2 linked regions of the Tamandua tetradactyla genome follow. The protein of the gene in region 2 interacts with the protein of the main gene of each other region in a biochemical or structural test. Links are inferred from orthologs where the notes say so. Each region holds a gene or a part of one and is shown on either strand. Other genes may lie near its edges.

Region 1 (8,140 bases), on a different chromosome or scaffold from region 2:
ATTACATCTTAAGACCTTTAAGCATAAAATACACTATAGTTGAGTAAAAATCTGGCATGATCTTAAGATATGTAAAACATTGAAAAAACTGAACAGTATTTATTTCTAGTTTATATCGGCCAAATAGATGATTATGATTATTTTCTAGCTGCCTCTAATCATGGATGCTGGCAGCTAAAGTTCCAAGTGATGGTCATATCCACCAGGTTTGTTTGGCACAAAAGCCTGAAAGTGAAGGAAGAGGGGGCTGAGACGTGATGCTAGGAAGAACTTTCCAGCTAAGACGTGGACTATAGGAGTCACTATCAAGTGTATGTTATGGGAAATAATGTAGTAACTGGATTTTTCTATAATTATTTCTCTGTGATCTTTCCTGAAGGTGGGGAAGCAGGTATGGAGTTAATTCTCAAATTTTCTTCCAGATTTATGGCTCAATGAAAAGCCTAGGATACTTCAGATGATATGGCTGAAATTCAATGCAGGGGGTGTAAATTACATAACCTTTAGACAGACAATCAATGGGAACCCAAAAAGTTTTCAGACTTTCTCTGTCATTTAACGAGCATGTCCATCTTTTCCACATCTAATTAGCAGGAAGACAAAACAGAAGGTGGTAGCAGGAACAATTTTCCAAAGAGAGGAAGAAATATAACAAATCACCCTCTGCTCTTTCCTTCTGAAATCCCCTAGTCAAAAAGGTTCCAGTTCATATGAAATCATAGGTGACTGCAAAGCCATGACCTCTATTTTTTCCCCCTCTAGTCAAGCCAAGAGTGAAGGTTCAAACCCAGGCCCTAGCATGCAGCAATACGAGAGTTTCAGTAAGGGAGCCCACCTCCCACTACCCTAGCTGAATGGTTTTACATCCCAGCTGTGCTAGTCCAGCTGCACACACTGTCCCACAGCTAGGGGACTCACTGCGGGCAAAGTTGGTAGAAGGGCGTGCCCCCAGTCCAACTCACGATGCCCGAGGACCACAAGAGATGGATGGATAAGCCTCCCTCTGAATCACAGAAAGAGCTGGAAGGGGCGTAGGGGAAATCTAGCCTCATCCCTACTTAAAAGGTGAGAAAGGCAGACCCAGGAAAGGGACAGGACTGTCCACATGTGGGTGAGCTGCTGACTCACCTTATCCTGGAGAAAGGTTTGATGCTGATAAATCTGTGGTTTGTTCAGCTTTCTGCAATTGAGATAATCTCTCCAATTGCAAAGTAAAAATATATATTGTTGAGTAATCATTTTTTTTAAGTCTTTGCCAAGGTGAGCTGCTGATTCTTCCCTCCTGTTAGATACTTCGGTAAACACTGACCCTTGGTCACTTTTTTAAAAATGCTGTTGTCAGATCTGAAGCATTCTGCAGCACTGATATCTTCCTGCTAGAGGATTTTCAGACTCAGTACCTGGGTGGCTCTCAGTTCCTTCGCATTTACCAGGGAGGGTATTTAGTGCATCAGGGGGCCCTTTTTGAGGGTTCCCCAAACATTCTTCAAATGTCTTCATAAAGCGGTGGTGAACTTAAACAGCAACGCTATGCCAAAAATTAGTTCAAAGAAAGCTTTTTATAAATGTTTCCCATACTAATAAATTAAGTCCCTTCGTACGTCCCTCTCAGTTTGCCAAAAAGGACGTCCAGAAAACTGCACTGACCCTTGCTGTGTAAGTGGGGAATCGAACATGAAAAAAACTTTCAGCTTAACGTGCTTCGTGCTTTTCCTCCCGCGGGGTCACCTACCTCCATCAGTGGGCGCTAGAGAAGAGCGTCTGGAATGCGAGCTCTGCTCAGGGGCAGAAGTGAGGGACGGGAAGGGGTCTCTCCCTACCTTTCCGGGCCTGCTGGATGTATCTCGCCAGCAGTGTGTTCAGGTGTGCCCGCGGCTCGCCGTCGGTCCTTTGCACCGCCTTCAGCGGCCTCCGCAGTACTTCCTCCGCGGGCGGCGCCCCGGGACCCACGGGGTCAGCCCGGGGCGCGGGCTGCGCTAGGGCGCCCACCGCCAGTATGACCATCAGCACGCACAGGCACACGCCGCTGTTCATGGCTGCCGAGAGCAGAGGGGAGAAGGCGTTAATGAAAGGGCGGGGCACCCGCGGGCTCTAGCGAAGGGTCTGGGCGCTCGGGATAGGCCAGGCCGGCGCAGGCACCAGGGTTCGCCAAGCAGACCCGAGCCGAGTGGCCACAGCACGTGTGCCCCGATGCGCCCAGGCTTGTTTTTTGGGTACATCACACCCGGTGCCCGGAACGGGAAGGTACTTCTGTCCTCTATGATGTTTAGCAGAAGGAATATTTTCAACTATCCTTTAGTTTGAGGAAAATATTCGTAGAGCATTTCTGGTCTCCTAACTGGAGAAGCAAAAGATTAAAGTGTAAAAAATATCTTTAGGGAAAGGCTCCATGCCACTTGAAGAAAGTAGCTCTTTTTCCAGATACCCAAGAGGCTTTCAGTGGAGAAACAAATGGTGAGGAAAGAAAAGCACAGTTAAAATAATGGGAGCAATAAACAAAAGTCAGATTTATAAAGTTTCTTGCAGGTGTATATGGGAATCATTATCAAACCACTGCACAAAACACAAGTAGGATTTTTAAAATCAGCCTTCAGTCTTTGGCAATGCCTGGCCAGCATCTAAAACACACCTGCACATTTCAATCCCCAAAGCCCTACATTTTTTCTGCAGTATTTAGAAAATGGATTTAAAGCTTAAAACCTCTTGGTGTTTTATTAGAAGAGATCCCCAAAGTACACAGCACCTCTATGTAAAATCCAGCAAAACCCAATTTGAATGCTAATCCTTGCAAATGGACATTAAAGCATTGTTAGCATAAGAGAAGAAAGATGGGAGCGTGTGAAAGTCTGTCATGCAGCTTTACCCACCCGGCTCCCAATATTAGATACAGCACGGCTATTTCTGACTTTATGTCATTCAAGCTGTCGTAGAGAAGGCATAGAAAAGAGAAAAACAAAATGGAAAGGAGTACAAAACTGAAGACAGCATTCCTAGGACAAATGACACTTGGATCCCTCGCCAGCGAGCCGGGACACCTACCTTTGGAGTAAGCAGGACGCAGCTGGCAGTGCGCTTCCACCAGAGCAGCCCGGCGGCCGAGCCAAGTTCAGGGTGGGCGGGAGGCAGGCTCTTAAATAGCCCCGCCCGGCGCTGCCGTCCAGTCCCGTATTTACCCAGTGCTGACGCAGACCCGGAGCAACACGTGCTCAGGTGGCGGCCACTGGGGCGACGACCGATTGAGGTGGCTCCTGGGGGAGAGGCGAAATGGCCCACTGGAGCCGGGTTAACCCCTCCCCAGAGGGGTGCCCGGGACCCTCCGCTCAGCCCCCAGTACTTCCTTCCCCTACCCGGCGCACCGCCGTCTCCCCCGCCCAGCGCCAGCGTGGCGTGCTTCAGGACAGACCTGGGGGTCGGAAGGACAGACCTGGGGGTCGGCAGGACAGACCTGGGGGTCGGCAGTCTCCCCCCGGACGGAGAAGCTGCCCGCCTTTAATCTCCTTCGGGGATCGGATGGGCCAGAAAGGACACTTGGGGGACACGAGGCAGTGCTGAGTGTCAGCAAGTGTAATTCTGAGAGGAGGGGTTGTCGGCCCCTCTCCCAGAATCCGAGGCAGCTCTGCTCTTTCAGCCAACGAGTGAACTCCTTCAGGGGTGGGCAGAGGGAGTCGGGGTCCTTTCTTCTCAGCCCATTAAAAGCCCTCGAAGTTCTTCAAGATTCCGGGAGCAAGTGTCCCGGGTCAGTGAAAAGGCTCGGGCCAGAGGTGCCTGCTGGCACCCCAGGCCTCGCTGTACGCAGCTGTAAAATGGGAGTGACACCGTCTGGGTTTGGAAACGGGCTGTCTTCTTCCGGGCAGTCACCACCTGCCGCTGCCCCTCGTAGCCGCCAAGTGGCGCCAGCGAGTGTCCCAGGGAGACCGACCCCCTCCCCGCCACGCCGCGTTCCCGCTCGCTCCGGCGTCCGCCCCTCCTTTGGGGACAAGATGGGCCGGAAAGAACACTTGGGGGACACGAGGCAGTGCTGGGTGTCAGCAAAGTGTAATTCTGAGAGTCGAATTAGGATCCCGCTCCCGCATCACCCACCCTTGGGGAAGAGGCAAGGGAGGCTCTAAGGCTGCTGGGCGCGCTTCCTACGGCGACCCCGAGCCCGCGCGCGGTGGTGGACTTTATCCTTCTTGCCCCGAAGCCATTTAGCTGGTGTCCGAGGTCGCCTTGTCCCCGCACAGGGATGACCGCTCCCATTTCACAGACCGCAAACCGAGGCGCGCGGAAGAGCAGCACGTAGCCGAGGTCCACAGCGCGCCTTGACCCCCACTCCCTCGCGCCCTCAACTCCTCCCCCTCGCTTGCTCTCCTAAGTCTCCGACGCGGGGTCGAGGATCTGGAAGAGACTCCTTCAGAATCGGAATCCGAACTCACTTGGGACGGGACTCCGGGATGAGCCGGGCTGTGGGGGGCGCCTGCGTGGGCATCGCGGCGGACGGGAAGCTTGGCGCGGGGACCACTTTGGTTGACCCCGCTTCCCTTTCTAAATCAGAAAAGCGACTGTTTCTACAACCTGAAGCTGGTATTAGCTTCTTAAAAACAGAGCAGCTGATGAAATGTTTCCCAGTGGCTTTCCCAGGAGGCAGTTGGGGAAACCAGTTTTCTTTGTGACCGTCGCCAAGGCATGCCGACAACTATAAACTTGTTATTGGTCTCAAACTTTAGCTGCATGGGAATCACCTGAAGGATTTCCTAAAACGCTCCCAATCCATGGACAACACAGTGAACCACAAGTTCACTTAAGGACTTAAGTTAAACCATGGGCTATAATTAATAGTAAAATTATAAACGTGTGTTGTCATCAGTTGTAACAAATGTACCACACCAAGGCAAGGAGTTAATAATAGGGTGGTATATGGGAATTTTGTATTTCAGGAATGATTATTCTGTAGATTCACACCTTTTCTAACTATGGGGAAAAAACCCACATTTAAAAAGTGAGCACTTTTTTTAAAAAGTTCCCAGGTGATGCTGGATGGTCCTGTTCTGGGAATCACACTTTGAGCACTGCTGCTCTCGGACATTTCTTACCTTAGCCAGTTACTTAACTCCCTTCTCTTCATCCATTTGATTAATATTTAACTGAATACCCTACTTTGTGCCAGGTGCCTGGGATGCAGTGCTGACATGCTGACACAGGCTGATGGTATAATGGGGCAAATGGAGGGGAGGCAGCAGAACTGAACATCAGATGCTTCTGATGAATTGGGAAGAGGGATATGGGGTTGGAGATGGGAAATGACCCCAGAGAAATGTTTTGATGAGGGAGTGAAGGAATGAAGTTCAGGTTCTGGAAAGATCAGTCTGGTTGTGATGGGGAGGGTATTTCAAGGGGAGAGAAATTGGACAGTAGGGACTGGTTAGAAGGGCACCTGGAATCAAGATAGTTTTATAATTAAAATAATCAACCAGTTTTTACATTATAAAAGTAACAAGTGCTCATAAGAAAACCTCCAGACAATAAATGAAAGTTAAGAAAAAGGAAAAGTTCAACCACCCAAGGGCAACCACTATTAAGAAACTGGAAATAGCAATGGGGCTTGGTAACTGAGGCTGACCTTGGGTCCCAGGTTGGAAGGCAACCTGAGTGGTAGAGTATTACCCAAGACAGAGAATTCAGGAGGAAAAACAGATGTGGGGTATGAGAGTGGGTAGGGGATGAGCTACATATGAGATTGAGCTCATTATTTTTGCATGGATAGTCCAGGAGGAGGTTGAAAACATGAGCCTTGAGCTCAGGACAGGGGGGGCACTGGCGATGTGAACCCCCAGCCTTTGATGTGAACATGGAGGTCAACCCCGGGGGAAGTATGGAGTGCTGGGTACCATGGAGACAGCTCTATTCAGACCCCTGAGGAGGACAGGATGGAGTGAGTAGAAGAAGGGGAGCTGATAAAGAACCAGAGGAGTGGTCAGGAGGCCACAGAGGAAAGGCCATAGGTGACAAGGACTATCAGAGGCGGAAGAAGAGCCTTTGTAATGAGCCTGTTTCATTTACCATAAAGGTGTAGCCACCTTCCCTCCAGGAATGGGAATTCTGGGCAGGGATGTGTTATAAAATCCTGTGGGGAAATAAAAGAAACAAAACAGATCTGAACTTCTTAGCCACAGTAATGATTTTACTTAATGGCCAGGGGGACTAAGAATTCTGACCAAGATGGACCTGGGATATGGCGCTTTTCCTGTAAATGCATATGCATTGCACTAAAGGAAATCTATTTGTTCACTAACAAATATTTGCATATTGCTTTCTGAGGCGAGTGCTTTTGTGCCCCACGTCCCACCTCTGGCTCCACCTCTGGCTGCAGCTGGACTTCCAAAATGCCCCTCTCCACTTCTCTGCAAAAGTTCAGCCTGGAGGTACTTGAGTGTTAACTCCCCTGAAGAGAATCCCCAAGCAGGAAACCTGCTCCTTCTGAGCCCACTCTGGATGCTTCTGGATGCTTCCCAAAGCTCTTGCAGTGTCCAGCCCCCTTAGCCTGAAGCAGTGACCTTAACATCACTTTAATTGACTTTTCTTCCTTCCCTGTCTCACTCTTCTCACTTCCTCACGGCTGCTCCCTGGGGTCATCTCCCAAATAAACCACCTTCCCCTAAGTCCTCCTCTGATCTCATGTCTATCAGACACTGTTGGGAAATGGCAGCAAGTGAAACAGACGTAATCCCTGCCATCGTGGCCCTCTCATTCCAGTGAGAGAGACAGGCAATGTGTAAGACGTCATGGATGGACACAAATGCTAACATAGCCCAGTGAAAGTTATGGGGAGGGCTGAGCACCTGCAAACCTCTGCTTGAGGCTCCTCTGTTAGACTCTTTGACATGAAGACCTTGCTGTGAATATTAAAGAGATATGGTTTTGATTTGCAATCCAAATAAAGCAAAAGGAAGGTGTAATGTGGTTTCACCATGAATGGAGGTTGTTCTTGTATTTCATCAAGTGTGATGGGGTAATTAAATTTTACCCTAAACCCATTGGCTTGTCCCAGAAAAAGACTAGAAAAGGACCGTGCCCTCTCTGTGCTCCCTGCCCCGTCCCGTCACTGAGGGGGACTCACCAGCTGGGGCCCAGAGCTTGTGGTGTGGAAGTCCCCTGCCTTCAGCAGAGGGCTAGAAGCAGAGTGAACAGTATGCAGATATTGCATTTGAGAGGGAATGGTGGTAAGAGGCATCCTTGGACTGTTTTCTGGTTTTGGAATCTAGTAATTTCCATCTGTGTCTGGTGAAACGAATTTAAGTGAGGTTAGGGCCAAAGTCAGGGAGGCATCCCCCCAAAGCAGGTCCTGAAACAGATGTGATGCTTTCAATGTCGGATTTTTCAGCCATGGAAGCAGCTCACAGACAGGTGACTATTTTGAATTTGTAGAAAACTTAGGGGAATTTTCAGGCGCATCTTACTTTATTATTCATAGAATTGACACTTGTTATCATAACCCCAATTCAAAAGAGGTCAGGAGGCTGTCTGCTGTGTTGGCAAGAACGCTTGGTCCAGCTTCTGTTTGGGGTCTTGCATTCTTTCTCCTGACCCCCACATATTGGAAATGCCATTAATTGTACTGGAACTTTTTAAAAGCCCACATGATCAGTGTCACTTGCCATTAACTGGAGTGATTTGACAAAAAAGAAAGAGATAGGTGTGGTCATTATGACCCATGAGTGTTTTCTTTTCCTAGTAAAGTGTTTCCTTAGAATATCTTGTCTTAAGTAAGGTTTCCACAAAAGCAGGGCCTGAGACCAAGGTGAGGGGGTTTACTTGGGAGATACGTTAGTTTCTTAGGCTGCTTAAGCAAATGCAGCAAATGGGTTGGGTTTAAACAATTGGGAATTTCTTCTCTCACAGTTTGAAGCTGGGAAAAAAGTCCAAATCAAGGCGTCATCAAGGTGCCACTTTCTCCTCGAAGGCCGTGGTGCTCTGGGGCTGGCTGCTGGTGGTGCTTGGTCCTTACTTTGTCACCCGGCAAGGCACATGGGGGCCTCTTCTGGCCTATCCATTCTCTTCTGGATTCTGCTGGAATTTCTGCTTCCTGCTTCTGTTGCTTTTTCTGTCCTTGCCTGAATTCCATCCCTTTTATAAAGGACTCCCTCCAGTAAACAGATTAAGA
Region 2 (7,332 bases):
AAATTTCTATAGGTAACATTTATATGAGGCTGAGTGATAAATGTACCTGTCACTTCTGACTGCCTGGATAACATCCGAATGTGTACGGCTAACAATATCCAGAGGGGCGAGGCCAATACTTGCGTCCGTGCTCTATTACTCCACCTCCTATTTTCTTAGGCATCCTTGCTCTATTGACACCCCCTCTCCTGCGCCTTTAACCTTCCTCTGCCCATCAGTACTCTTAAAGTGCTCTTGTCTCTACTACACCATGCCCCCCTCCTGCCCCTGCCCAAATCCAAAGGACAAAGCTACACAAACACATCCACAACTCCTTCTAAGGACTTCCTTGTTATTTACTCCAAAGAACACTGCTCTGTCTTTATCTGACTTGATTTTTTTGCCAGCGTTTGAAATCAATTACCCCATCCTGCTGGAAACTCTATTTTTCCTTGGCTTCTGGAAAGACATAGCTCCCATCTCTCTAATAGTTTCATCTAAATTTCCATGGACTCTCCTTCCTCTGCCTGGTTTTTGAAAATTGGACTTCTGCAGGGTTTTGCCTCAGGTTCTCTTTTTCTTTCATTCTATACAATCTTTGGGTGATTTTCACTATTCCCATAACTTCCATTATCTCCATTGGCAAAAGGCTTTCAAATGTGTATTTCCAGCTCAGGCCTCTCCCCTAAATTTCAGATCCATGCATTCAACAGTTTTCAGAACAACTCCATCTGGGTGTCCCACTGACATTTAAACTCAGTGGGTTCCAAAGTGAATTTATAATCTCTTCTGAATCTATTTTCTGTTCTTTCGTTATCCTTCACATTATATAGAACCAATACCCATCGAATACATTGCCCTAGCCAGAAACCTGGTTGTCATCCCTGGACCTCTTCCTCAGTCTCCCCTTTTAATCAGACACCAAGTCCTGTTGATTCTACTTCCAGAAGTAGTTCTCCAAATCCATTCACCTCTCTCCTTCCCTCTGCGACTCACTTCATCTAAGCCAGTGTCATCTTTCATATGTATCACTGTAATAGCATTCTAAAGTATCCCCCTGCCTTCCATCTCAACAACTAGTCCCAGTTTCAGTAGTTTCTATGGCCCTCAGGATAAAATACATACTCCTTAGCTAGATATACAGTATTCTCTATAAACCCTCTAGGCTCCAGCCTGAGTGTTCATTACTCCTCTCTTAGGGAATTTGATACAGTCACACAAAAATATGTCACATTGAGTAAAAGTGCCATGGATTTAAACTTTGGGCTTTCACACATCCTGCCTCTCTGCTTGGGATTTTTTCTTTTTTACCTGTTCTGCCCCATTCACCCTTCTGGCTCTCTCTCATTTTTCTGATTTCAAATTAGATGTCACTTCCTCAGAAGGCCAACCTTGATTTCCAAGGCCATGTGCCCACAGCCCTACCAAGGTATTTTCCATTTTGTGCTGCAGTTCCTTGGTTACTTGCCTGTCTCCCATACTAACCTGTGAGCTCCATGAAGCAGAGACTGTGTCAGTTTTGTTCAATTCATGTCCCTGGCACCTAGCACAGTCTCTTGTTCAGTAAACATTTTTGAATGAAAGAATCTGAGTGTGTGTGTGAGTGTGTATAATAACGGAGCTGAGAAAGCATGTGTTATTTTGTGGCATAAATAAGTACTCAGACCACAGTTTATTTCAAGTTTCTTTCCCTTTTCGGGCTTGGAATAATTTACTTCTGCTTAATACTTTTACCTCTCCTGGAATACCCCTCTTTCCTTTTCTGCCTACTGAACTCCAACTTCAAAATTTGGCTCCTGGATTCCCTTCTCTGTGAAGTTAGTGGACTCTGTCAGGCTGTGGTAATTAGTTTTCTCTTTTGGGTACCCACAAGTCAGACCCTTTCATAGTACTTCCTATGCTAACTGTGCTATATCCACGGGCTTGTCTCTTCTCTATACTTGATTATGAACTGATGAGAGCCGAGACTGGGTCTAATTTTTCCTTGTGTCCCCAGAACCTAGCTCAGGGACTAGGATAGCAGATGTACACTAAACATTTAAGGAAAGGAGGAGTGCAAGAAGGGAAAAATGATGTACTTTGAGCTGGATCATCCAGAAAATGCTAAGGTGAGCTGATGGGAAGAGTGAAATTCATTTTGGTGGTGGTGGTGGTGGGGGGGACTGGGTGATTGGAAGCAGTCCGAAGGAGGTAGGAAGAGAGAAGGTGGTGGCACAAAGGGATGGAACCAGTCTCTGTGAGGATGAGCCCTAAGGAGAGACAAGCTATGCTAGGGGCTTGGAGGAACTTAGCGACATCACTTGGAAACAGAGAAAGAGAAGGTAGAGAGCTTTGAGAAGAACTCCAGCTTGGGAGGCAGAGAGGTTTGAGGATGAGTAAAATAGAGGCAGACAGCTCTGGGGAGCAGCCCCCAGGGTCCAGCCTAATCCAGGCATGAGGATGTCATTTGGGAAGGCTAGGGGGTGGGGTGGGGGACACAAGAAATAACTCAGCTTCCCATCAGGCCTTCCAGAGTGCTCTTCCCACAATCTTGTCCCCACCTTCCCCCCAATCTTTCCTTTCTTTCTTCTCTTCCCCTGTATGGCACTGTGGATGGGATGTACAAGAGAGACCTGGAAGGTTTGGCAAGAGAAGGTCCTTGCTTCTCCACTGTCTGTGTCAAGGAGGGGGATGTGTGTTGGGGAGGGGGCTGTGTTTTCAGAGAAGGTCTGTGAAGAGGCTGCGATGTGATGGAGTTGTAAGAACTGTGGGGCCCCATGTGTGAGAGAGGCCGTTTGGGGGCTGAGAGAGTGCTCTGAGGGGGACGGTGTGGGCGTCCGAGGAGGCAGTGTGGAGGCCGTGGGGGGCCGCTCTTAGAGTCCTGAGGTGCTGTGAGAAGGAGCTTGTGGGGGGGGGGGCTTAGGGAGACACCCACCTCGTGTCCCGGCTCCGCGGAGGCGAGGGGGGTCGCAGCTGTGGTTGCCAGTACTGCTGCTGTTGAGGAGGAGGCCCCCGGGACGGCACAGAGAAGCCCCCGGCCCGGGTCCGGGTCCCAGCACGCTCCGATTCAGCCTCGGTAGCTCCATGGCCCCCGCCGGGCCCGCCGCCTCCCTCAGCTGGGCCGGGCGGACTCCTGCAGCAGCTCCACCTGGGCGCGCGGCGATTCCGGCTCAGGCTCCCACCCCCGAAGCGCCCCCAACCCCGGCCCCGGCCCCTGCCCCTCCACTCCCACTCTGCGCGCCGCGCCGAGGCTCCCGCCCCTCCCCGGCTCGGGGCCGCATCTGTCCCCCCAGGTGACTCCTCTGCCCACCCCGTCCCGCCCCCACCCCCACCCCTGCGTGACTGTTCTCCGAGGCTCGACCCCCTCCCTAGATGTCTCCCGTCTCCTCTCACAGATTTCCTTCCCGCCAGCCTCCCCTCCCCTCCACCGCCCTGGGTTCTGGGGAATTCTTGGCTTTCGCTGGGGAGCGTGTGTGCTTGCGTGCGTGTGTGTGTGTGCGTGTGCGTGTGTTGTGTGTGTGTTGGCGGGAGGGAGAGTTAGAGGGGTGAGGGAGGGCGCGGCTGGCGCGGAGCGCTGCATCTCTCCCGGGTGGAGCAGGGACTTGGAGGTGTCGTCGGAGGCGGGGTCTGCTCGCAGGGGGCACCGGCCGCGGCGCGATGCCTCACCAGGTGCTCAGCGCCGCGGTTACCAGAAATTGTGCCGCAGTGGCCTCAGCCATCGCGGCACTGTCGCTGCCATCGTGCCCTGCAGCTCCTCGCGTGGGCCTGGGGTAACTGCTGCAGCTGCCCCGTACCCTCCGCCTTCTACCGCCCAACACCCAAAGAGTCTTCAGCAGCGGGCATGGTTGGGGGTGCAGGACAGTTGTCCCCAGGGGTCTCCTGACAGGGGAAAGTGCTGCCGGGAGCAAGAGTCTGCCTTGGCTGTCGGAGTCCGCCTGGGGTGGTGACACCTGCCCAGGATAAATGGGGGGTGGTGGGTGATTGTGAAACCTTGTGGCTAATGTTCCCTTTATCCAGGGTATGGACAGGTGAGAAAAACAAAACAAAACAAAACAAACATGTAACCCATAACAAAATCCGAAATATATTTACTAATTGTTGCACTGTGTTTTGAAATTTATTGCTTTTTTGTATATATGGTATTTTTTCACACACACACACAAGTCGATTGTGATGAAAAAAATACTCATTTCCTCTAATCCCTAATGTTCTGGAGCAACTAGAAGGAAAAATCTGAGATGGTATGGTTGCCCATGACAAACTCTGGGCTCTGTCCTGTAACTACTTGTTGAAGAGTCCTTTGAAAACTGTTGCTTTTTTCTTTCTTTGCTTTGTATCTACGTTATATTATACAATTTAAAAAGTTTAAAAAATAAGGACAAAAAATAAATAATGGGGGTGGACAGAAAGTAAAAAAAAAAATGGGTAGTTTGTGATATTAGTGATCAGGGAGAGGGATGGGTAAGGGGTATGGGATGTATTTATTTTTATTTTTATTTTTTTTTCAGGAGTGATGGAAATGCTGTAAAAATGATCACAGTGATGAATACATAACTATTGTGAGCCACTGATTGCATACTTTGGATGGACTGTATGGTACATGAAGATATCTCAATAAAATATTTTAAAAATAGCACTATCTTTTTTTAAAAAATTGATAAATTAGACTTCATCAAAATTTAAAACTTTTGTTCTGTGAAATACACTGTTAAAAGGATGAAAAGACAAGCTACTGTAATGGAGAGGCTGAGCCTACCTTAATTATGCCTAAGAGTCATCTCCAGAGGACCTCTTTTGTTGCTCAAGTGTGGTCTCTCTCTCACTAAGCCTGGCTCTGCAAGTAAACTCATTACTCTCTCCATGTGGGACATGACTTCCCGGGGCATAAGTCTCCTTCGCAACACGGGACATGACTCCTGGGGATGAGCCTGGCCCTGGCATCATGGGATTGACAATGACTACCTGACCAAAAGGGGGGAAAGAAATGTAGCAAAATAAGGTTTCAGTGGCCAAGAGATTTCAAATAGAGTTGAGAGATTACTCTGGAGGTTACTCTTATGCAAGCTTTAGCTAGATATTGAAAATTGCCACAGTATACCAAGCCCCAATCAATAGTATTCCTAAAAGCCCTAAAGAATACCCAGGGCTCTATCTGAGCCTCTATAAATGTTCACTCACTAAGTTTACCTTTCAGAAACCTAAAACTTTTCAGATTGTTCTTATGCCAGATAAGTCCTGAAACCCAGAGGTACCTGTCTCACCAAGAACCTCAACCAGTTGCATCTCCCTACTCCATAATATTGACACCCCTTTTTAACATGAAGAGTTAGAGTGGTCATTGCCCAAATATCCCTAAAGATTGGGAGAAGGATGAAAGGAGAAGCAGGAATTATAACAGAGAAGATAGGATTTAACAAATGAGTATGACTGCTGAATCATTGTATTGATATTTCTTTTTAGTCTCCAGTGTATTAGAGCAACGAGAAGGAAATAACCTGAAATTGTGACACTGTAACCTATACCATACTTTGAAATTTGTTTTATAACTACTTGTTCGATTGTACTCTGAAATTTATCAATATTTGCATATATGTTATATTTCACAATAAAAATATTGAAAAAAAAAAAGCAATGGGCATGGGGGTGGGTTGGGATATGGTTCCAACCTTCCGCGGTCTCCAGGCAGCACTCACCCCTACCCGACTCGCTGACGCTCCCTGTTTGCTCTCAGGGCAGGTGGACCTGCCTGTGTAGGGCAACAGGTTCCCACGAGAGGGGGCTGGAAGGGGGTTGGGACACTGGGGTGAATCAGGAACAAAGATGAATGGGGTGTGTGCAGGATCTGAGGTGGGTTCAGCTACTTGGAGCAGGACTTACTTCTCCTAATATTTCAGCCCAGGTGGCCGTCCACTCTCCTCTATTTCAAAGAAACTCTACAATGAACAGAAGTTGCATCCTCTGGCTATTCAGTAGTTGTAAGAGGTGGGGGCATCAGTCAAAGGGCGGATTAGAGTGGTGATGGGGTCTGGGTTTATGGGGAATTCAGAGTCTTTATCCAAGCGGTCGTGTAGGGAAAACTTGGTCCAGCCAGCTGCTCCCTCTTCCCTTCCTCCTGGCACTGCCTGCTTTGCCCAGTGAGAAAACCTGGACCGGGAGAGCTCGGCTTACTGTTTGTTCAGCTTCAGCCCAGGTGGGGCCACAGATAACCTACTGGATTTTTTTCCCACATTGGCTAGAAGGAGGGGGTGGGGTGGGAGAGCAAAGGGAATGTAGGGGAGAAAGGAGTGGAAATAGGAGAGGTAGACGGGCAGTCACTTATTCAGCAAACATGTGCCAGGTATAGGGCTGCACACTAGCTGTCTGATACAGTCTGTGCCTGAGTGGCTCCCAATGAGGTAGGCAGAGAATGACAGATGTGCCAAAGATTGCAATATATGGTCATAAATGCATCCACAAAGAGGCACAAATCAGAAATTTAGGAAAATTCCTTGATGCCTTGCTTTCTTTTCTTCCTGTAGCAGAGGCTGTTGTTCAAAGCCCAGACTCCCCTTCAAAAATGAAGGTTTATTCTCCAGCTGCTGGAAGGCTGCTGGCAGACAGCCCTTCAGGGTCCCCGTCCAGAGTTCCCTGAGCTGAAGAGAGCAGGTTCATCCAAGGTGATGTTTCTTTCCTGGGGTATTCTGTATCCAGTGACTGATCAACACAAAGGTATAAAGGTCCAGTCTCCTCTCCCCAGTGGAGGACAACTCTGAAAGACCTCCACAGTCCCAGAGCGCCTCAAGAGGTTGACTGAGGCCTTTGCTGGGGCCACATTACTGATCAGCTTCCTCCTTTGCCCAATTTGGATTAATTTCTTTCTCTTGCATAGATGTTGACTCCAACAGCACTCCTTAGCAAACATGCTACATGGTAATCTCTGTGTTATAGTCTGCATCCCAGAGAACCCAAGTGCTTCACTCCTATTTTCAGTCAGTCATGAAGTTCTGTTGATTTTATCTAAGTATTTGAATCAATCTGCTTCTCTCTCCCTGACATTACTCTATTGTCATCCTGCTCCCTTGCACTACTCTTCTAGGTTCCTAAACAGTCCACTGCATTTAACTGATGCCTCCTTACATCCATCCTCCACCCTATAACCAGTGATATTTTCACGATATAAAATCTGATTGTGCTACTCTTCTGCTGTTTGCTTTTGGGATAAAGAGAAAACCTTATAACAGGCCCTCAAAGCCTGCCTGGCTCCTACTGACCCCTCTAGCCTTATTTCAAGCCACTATGGGATTGTTCTCTCCACTGTAGACATACTGACTTTTCTTTAGCCCCTTTTATTTGCTACATTTTCTCCAGCTATATGAACCTTTTCTCATGATGTTA

Evidence for each region.
Region 1: the proteins of CCKBR (region 2) and CCK form a complex in vitro, tested with the Homo sapiens proteins (3 studies listed by BioGRID). The link is inferred for Tamandua tetradactyla from reciprocal best matches to the Homo sapiens genes CCKBR and CCK.

The regions. Positions count from the first base shown.
Region 1 is NC_135341.1:45,023,863-45,032,002, reverse strand, and holds the start of CCK (cholecystokinin), read right to left. Parts: upstream 3,084-8,140; 5' UTR 3,040-3,083; intron 2,037-3,039; 5' UTR 2,035-2,036; coding exon 1,821-2,034; intron 1-1,820. UniProt on the Homo sapiens protein: This peptide hormone induces gall bladder contraction and the release of pancreatic enzymes in the gut. Its function in the brain is not clear.
Region 2 is NC_135334.1:79,677,654-79,684,985, reverse strand, and holds the start of CCKBR (gastrin/cholecystokinin type B receptor), read right to left. Parts: upstream 3,146-7,332; 5' UTR 3,045-3,145; coding exon 2,894-3,044; intron 1-2,893. UniProt on the Homo sapiens protein: Receptor for gastrin and cholecystokinin. The CCK-B receptors occur throughout the central nervous system where they modulate anxiety, analgesia, arousal, and neuroleptic activity.